Bombyx mori: one gene and its partner. The protein of the gene in region 1 interacts with the protein of each later gene in a biochemical or structural test. Links are inferred from orthologs where the notes say so. Each region holds a gene or a part of one and is shown on either strand. Other genes may lie near its edges.

Region 1 (4,442 bases):
CAAGCGGCATTGGTTCGGACGCAGGCTCTCCGTTCATTGAACTGGTCGGTGGTAAACGAAAACAAAACCGTTTTGCCGACTGTTCTGCTATTTTGGTCTTAACGAAACGCCTGTTATCATTTTGCTTTAGTAATTAGATGATGTTCTTGTAGGTGTTCGTTTATGAGATTATGAACATAGCTACCGAAAACTTATTTTGTCCATTCATTTTTATATTCGTTGTTCTGTGAGCCCAACTAATATCCTGATTGTTGACAATTTGAATGGTAATGGTAATCGCATGTTTTGGTAATTAATAATCTTAGGTGATTTCATGATTTCATTTCATACTTTTCGCAATTGAATCACGTTAGTATATTCAAGTACAGCTTGTCTAATTATTAGCTGTGTTTTAGGATCATGTCATTTGCCGATTGTACAGACAATATAGACGATGATGTTTTGGACCGATTGGTATATTTTACAGAACTCAGTTACAACGTCCAGCCGTTGTGGATGAATCTCAAACTTATCTTTAATTTATGCCTCTATGTCATTCGAAGCGGCATTAATCATACTTGTAATTGAAACTATATTACCCTTGCTTTTTCTAATGGGCTGCAAATTATGTTTGTTTTTCTTTGGGCATTGTTCAATTAAATATGATTTTGGGTTCTTCTAAAACACTAGTACATATTTTTCTTAAGATACCCTCATTGATAGCTACGTCTTGTAGCGCGGTTTTTTAATTTCCTTTTTCTTTCCGTATAAAATATTTTGATGTAGTTAATTAGATATTTACAATACGTTAAGTACTACCTAAGTTAGACAATAATGAGCATTCAGTTGTCATTTTGTCGTCAATAAAATATTATTATAAACACTTAATATAGTTAACTTGCTTTTGAGTGATACCGTACACTTTTATCCACATTTTGAGTGATACCATACACTTTTATCCATCACAGAAAAATAAGAAATGAATCGTCATTCTACGATTTCTCCCATTCCAACAACGGTCGGATGGAAGTATCGGTTAGGTTAGTGGTAAATAGACTTCACGTGGCTACCGAATCGCTACTAAATATTTAGTATCGATTTGCCAAAATATACGCCTGGGTCTCCGTATCTTTTTCGTGATACCCAATACTTGCTATTTACGACCTCAAACTTATATTTGTTGGTGCTAAAAAAAACGAATAAAAAGGTTAGAGTTGTAATGTTGTAGCTAGTTAGAAATTTATTTATAGATAGACCAACACCCCGCATCATCATATAACTAGAGCTCACGTGCCCGTTTCGATATGTCATTATTTCGTGAAATAACTTTGTAGAGATGTGTGAGTTGTGGTGTTTAGGAATTTTGAACATCTGAGAAGTATGGGACTACCTACCTTCCACTAAAATATTTATTTCATTAATCGCTTGCCAGAATCGTTCTGTTGTTTTATGTCAAGTTAATACTTATTTATATAATGTAAAAGACTCATTGAATTTTAGATTTCGTTTTTCTTGCAATATCTAGACATCTGAATACTGTCTAGACCGAGTTTTGAACTCTGAGCACTCGAATGCTGTGAAACCTGAAGTAAATTGCTTTTGGGTTCACTTCACGCAGTCTGGTTTGTGACGTCGACGAGGGCGGACACGCTGTCTCCCATATAAAATGAGCTAATAATAATCTTTACAAAAGATACACATGTTTATTTTCGGCGTAAAGTTTTGTTGTTCTCATCAAGATTGTCTCGCAGTTTGGTTGTTATGTAAACTGTTGAAAAACCCAAAAACTTTAATGGTTCGATGCGTTTTCTAGACGATATTTTCATCGATACAAAATGCTTATCTAATGCACACATGTGTGTCGAATGCCACATGGACCGTAAACCCCATGTCAAACGATAGGCATGTCGTATGTTTACACGACAAATAAACTATCGCATGCATTTGTGAAGAGACGTTCACGAGTTACGGTGCACCAGTGATCTTGAAGATTGTGTAAAGAGCTGAATCTTTGACGCCTTCACCGATATAATTTTGCTGGCGACAATCTCCGTATTTTGAAAATCGCTATGTATGGGATAGTGTGATTTCCGCACCCTCATGGACAGTGAGGGTCGTCTAATATTCTGGAAGAGTGGAGTGTGGGAGGGCGGAGCTCCAACCCTAAACTGCAACACCTGCAAGAAACGTCGCGCGGACAGGATGAGCGCCAACGAGCGACCTCAAGGGTTTGTGATCATTTCAATATTTATTCAATGAAATGTTTGAAATGTCATCACACCATAACTTGATGATGATGAGATCAGGCTTAGTAAGTCTACCAATACTATCTGCTATCACAACTTCTTTTACTACGCTTAACATTTGAATATAGATACGGCTCAATGCAGTATCGCGCACATACTCTGTGATATGATGAGTGCCTCAAAACGTTAAAAAGGGCTTTATAATATGCAGCAATTGTATGAAAATATAGAGTAAAATACTTAAAGTTTGAACTGGAATCGTCTGTAACACGGGAAATAATTTTAGAATGAATCACGTCTCCGTTTCCCCGTAACTAAATAGCTTGTGTCGGTATCGGAAACCTGTTTTTCCTTGTGAAATAATGACTGTTTGAATAGTTAGTTGTATTTTGTTTGTTATCGTAGCATCCGTTTTGATATACGATTTTTTTGTATACTTTGTTTCTGTTTGGTGCTCGTACGATTTTCTCATCGCTGAGTCGCCACTTAGCGGTATATAACTGTAAAGATTCTCACTATTTCTCATAATTGGAGATCTGACATTGTTTAATCGCAATATTAGGTCCGATCGATCGTCTGTTGGTAGACATGATCTCACAACATTTTTCTAACTGTTTGATTACGAGTAGAGTTAATGTATTGTGAAAATTGAATGTGATATTCCTGTCGCGTTCAGTTTGTAAGTCTGTAAGAATCACGTGTTCAACGTATGCTAAGAATTCAATTCATGTTGCATGGCAAAATTAATGACACTAAAACAAACTTTCTGGCGGGAGCGAGAGGAATGAAATTCTGAGAATTGTTTGAATTAGTTCATTTAGTATTCAATCTGGTTTTGCTTAATGAAATAAATTCACAATAATCTTGCATGTGTCCTCTCGGGATCTAACAAGAAGCTCATTGAAGTATCATTGCAATTCCCACTATTTTAGGACGCTAACTTATTTCATCGTGTTTCATTAAAATTCATACCATAATTAATTTGCAATAAACCAACTTCATTTCATTTCGATCATTAAACTTTTCGTAAAACAAAGTACGTAATAAAAAAGAAGAGTTTGTTGAACCCGAGGCTGACAACAATGGCACTCCGGGAAGCCGATTACAATACTGGAGAAATCGGATGAAGACATAAACACAATCTTGTTATTGATATAAATATAAAGAACCAGAATAAAGATAATTCACGCATCTTAACAACCTTTTTATCTGTCGACCATGGTTTTCTTTATATTAGGAGCATTTTTTGGGTATGGTTTGGCCGAGACGAGTTTACAGCCCACTTCGTGCAAAACAGTTCCCCAGACCATCAATACCACAAACCAGTGGGTCAATTGGTCAGATACAACCCGCTCTATAGCCACACGTGTATTTAATTTTGTACCACGATATTATTTTTAAATCGTGAAAGTCATTCATGAACACGTATTGGGTTTATTACTTAGAAATTAGCGCTGGAGAACTGTAGCATCTTAGCAGAAACCTGGATTTGGAATTATTTCGAGAACTTTCGTTGATGTACAAACTCTCATCAATAATTTTGGTTTACCGCGTAAAATGCTTTACGTAAATGACTGCTTGTCATAGTATCAGCATATGGTACGTATTTAAGTTATTAAAGAATGCAGTGTTATCTTTAACGATGAGCTTTTAACAACCGATGTGAGTTGAAACGTAAATGGAGAAAGCGAAAAGAATATTTATTTAAATTAAATTGAATTTTTGAAATACCTGTTACGGTATAAACCAATGATTATTATTTTTTTTTTATTTATTGCTTATATGGCTGGACGAGCTCACAGCCCACCTGGTGTCAAGCGGTTACTGGAGCCCATAGATATCCACAACGTAAATGCGCCACCCACCTTGAGGTATAAGTTCTAAGGTCTTAAGTATAGTTACAACGGCTGCTCCACCCTTCAAACCGAAACGCATTACTGCTTCACGGCAGAATTAGGCAGGGTGGTGGTACTCACCCACGTGGACTCACAAGAGGTCCTACCACCAGTAATTCACAAGTTTCGACAACTCGAATTCTTTGCAATTTTCGGTGTCATGGAAGAGATCGATTATTTTCTGCTTAACCTTCCCTCATCTCGAAAACTAATTATTGATTATATGTACTCATAGTATTCTACTTGAAGCATGAATCATAGCGTACACGTAATGTATAATATTATGTTACATTGTCACAGCTGATCTAATATATTCATAATA
Region 2 (3,373 bases), on another chromosome or scaffold:
CGGGTGATGGAAGGCCGGCTATCCTCAACCCACGCTGGTTCTGACCCAGCGGGGTATTCCGTAGGATAGACCATTCTAACCGGCGCCATCTAGGCGGGCTTCGGATAGCCTGCCGACCGAGAGGGCTGGTGGTCGTGGCGCCGACGACCGCCAGTCCGGCGTCCCGAGGGGGAGGGTGATGGGAGAGATGTGCTCCGCACTAAACGCTTCACTTTCCCCCCCTTGCCTTTTCATGAGTTTTGTCTCATGCGAGGTTTGGACGTTGGTTGTTGAGAGACAGGAGGTTTTAGTCGGTTCGACTCCGACATGCCCCGCCCTCCATCCCCAGTGAAGGGCGGAAGTCCGGCGATTTCCTCCTGACAAAAAAAAAAAAAAAGGTCTTAAAATTGATAATATAAATGGGGACACTATCACAAACTTAACTTTTCAATATGATAACTGAAAAGTATGGAGTGGGCAGTTCTGAAAATGATTCGGTTGACACTTGCAGGTGTATATATTCGCGGTTACAATGTGCTTATAACGGAAAGTGTCAATTTAGTAATTTTTTTTAAATCCGAATATTCATCCTAACTGTAGAAGATTTCAAATAAAACTCAAATATTTGATTTAACATTTGTTTTAATGAATAACATTCAACAGTATGAAATAACTACTTATGAAACAAAATTTGACTGTTTAAATAAATTCTCTTACTATTTAGTGCACTCAGCAGTTATCACTATTTGTACCGTGCGATTCGTTAATTACCATTAATATGTTGATTTACAAAAATATATTGTGAAGTTATTCGTGAATATATGTTTGCCAAAGCAAGTATATATTAATGATATGACGTATAGATAATGGATACAATACGTTTTAGTTGTGTAGAAACTTGCAAATGGCTTGTGCGGGATTGTATTATACACCAATAAATAAATTCCCATTTTTTTATAAAAAAATCCTCAATGACATCTTAAAACGTTGAGTGTAAATATTGTTTACAACTAAATTAATGCAATCAACGAAACACTGGTTTGTCATACTACTTCGTAAAGCAGGAGTCACTAACAAAATTGTGTTTGTTTTCTGAACAATTAAAATTGACTTGTAAATGTAATTGATATGATTTTTTTTATCAGCAACAATGTAAAAATTTCAATTAAGGTGTTGGGGTTATTTCTTGATACATTAAAATCACAGAGCAGATTATACTTAAATGTTTTGTTAAAACAATAATTAGTATTCATACATTAAATGCAACTTTGCTCAATTTATTATAAATTTAGACATTTAGCATTATAATCACACCACACATTCAACTATTTTGAAGTGAGTTACATGAAATAAGTATTGGATTGTATCTTACGGAATTGCCATAAATTATGTCAGAATTAATCAATAAATAGTATATATTATATTATTTACAGGAACAAAATATAGTCACATTAAATAATTCCTGAATCAATTATAAGATTTTTCAAGCAAAAGAAGCGTAAAACTTGTTTCTTATATTAATTATGACGTTATTTAAACTCTGGATTTACATTAGAATTTTATCACTTCAACAGGGGAAGTGAAATCAGTAAAACATTCTTCAGACCATGTTACACTTCACTTGATTTCAGTGTATAAATAAGTTGTTAAAACATTTATATTGATGTCTCGTTAAAATTTTAATTTATATGTATAAATATATATCCTTAAATTCAAAAAGAAGGTCTTCGACTGTTGAAGTGATATGAAAACACCTATGTACATTTCACTTTTGTCGGTGGGACAAATTGATAATCTAAAATAATATGTACATTTATTTACTTACACTTTGTCATTAGAATTTTAAATAATAAATAAAATCATTTCAACATCAGTTTACAAGTTTACAAATCACTAACTCCTTCCTGCATGTCAACTCGCGAGTTCTGACGAGTTCCTATACATTGCCCCACCGCTATCAATTTGTAAATTTATTTAATGTAAAAATCACAGGATACGCGGTTTCGTTCGAAGGGTGGTTTCAGCACGCTTCAGGGCCGCCCGGTGAAGTGACTAGTATACAGCTCGCGAGGAGGGTCCTTTCACGAGAAGTAGAGCCGCACCGCATTCGTGAACGTCCTGCGACACATCGGGCACTTGTCCGTCGACAGCGCGCACTTGGCGCACGCCACCACGTGGCCGCACGGCACGAAGCACACGTTACGCTCCTCGGAATAACATATTTTACATATTTTAGAGTCATCCAAATGTTTCTCGCCCTCTTGAGCGACGTTGTTAGTCGAATCATTGGTGGCGGCCTGTTCTTCTTCGCTAGCAGATATCGCAGTGGCCTCCGACTTAACCTTCTGAATGTAGTCACGTCCTTTCACCAATTGCACGTACGCGCAGCGGTCGAACCATCTGGCGTGCTGTTCCCACGGAACGTCATCGCTTTCCCAATCTTTTAGCCCTCCGTCGCAATAGAAGCATTTCGTTTTGTCACCTTGGCCTGTATAGAAGAATCCGGCCTCTGCCAGTTCCTCGGGTTTTTGGCGCATACATCTCGGCCAGTCCTTGAAGGTGGCGAGCCGCGCGGCCTCGGTGGAGTACCGCGCGTGCACGGGGCCGGGCATGCGGGGAGGCTGCGTGGCCGCACTGGCCCCACATTCGTCTCTACCGACAGCGGCCGCCTCTCCCCCAGCGTTGGCATACATTTGTTTTCGTACAAAGGGACACTGGGGCGCCCATCTCCGATGATCGGCGGCAGGATCGTCGCCTTCGACCCACCTCATAATTTCTACCTTACAGAAAGCACAGCACACCTCGTCGCCGCGACCGAGGTAGTAGAATCCGTTGCGGGCCAATTGTTCCGGCGTCAAAAACGTAACGGGCCACTGATCAAATGTTTTCAGACGTTCCTCTTCACGACGCATGTCGGGCATATCAGGAAGGAAGTTGAATGTGTCGTGATTATCCGTTTTATCAGCTGACGACGACGGTGACGGGAGTGTGGATGTCGTTGAGGACTCGCATGAGGATAACATGAGCGGACCAATGAAAGGTCGCATTTTTGCATCCCGCGCATTTTTTAACATCACCAACGTGGCGGCAGCTCCATTTTTAGCAACTGTAACAACAGAATAAGTTCACATTACGCACTATCGATACATATAAACTAATTCAATCGTTAATTAGAATAACTTTCTTTAATAATTAGTAAGTGACGATTAAAATAGTACATTAATGAAATTGTTGTATCTGTAAACAACTATCAACTGTTAAATAAACATCGTAACAATAATTGAGTCGACTATTATCAAAGGCGGCAATCTGACTTTTGGACAATGATAGGTAAATCAGAAAAACGAATTATTGACTTTGTATTCCATTGGCAGTCACAAAACTCTTCGGAACG

Evidence for each region.
Region 2: of the proteins of HPO (region 1) and Iap, one has a biochemical effect on the other in vitro, tested with the Drosophila melanogaster proteins (2 studies listed by BioGRID). The link is inferred for Bombyx mori from reciprocal best matches to the Drosophila melanogaster genes hpo and Diap1.

What each region holds. Positions count from the first base shown.
Region 1 is NC_085111.1:709,413-713,854, forward strand, and holds the start of HPO (serine-threonine kinase-like protein), read left to right. Parts: upstream 1-1,600; 5' UTR 1,601-2,079; coding exon 2,080-2,207; intron 2,208-4,442. UniProt on the Drosophila melanogaster protein: Plays a key role in the Hippo/SWH (Sav/Wts/Hpo) signaling pathway, a signaling pathway that plays a pivotal role in organ size control and tumor suppression by restricting proliferation and promoting apoptosis.
Region 2 is NC_085129.1:8,324,972-8,328,344, reverse strand, and holds the end of Iap (inhibitor of apoptosis protein), read right to left. Parts: intron 3,086-3,373; coding exon 2,061-3,085; 3' UTR 604-2,060; downstream 1-603. UniProt on the Drosophila melanogaster protein: Anti-apoptotic protein which functions as a caspase regulator, using its E3 ubiquitin-protein ligase activity to smother caspase activity. Binds, ubiquitinates and inactivates initiator caspase Dronc, and effector caspases Drice and Dcp-1.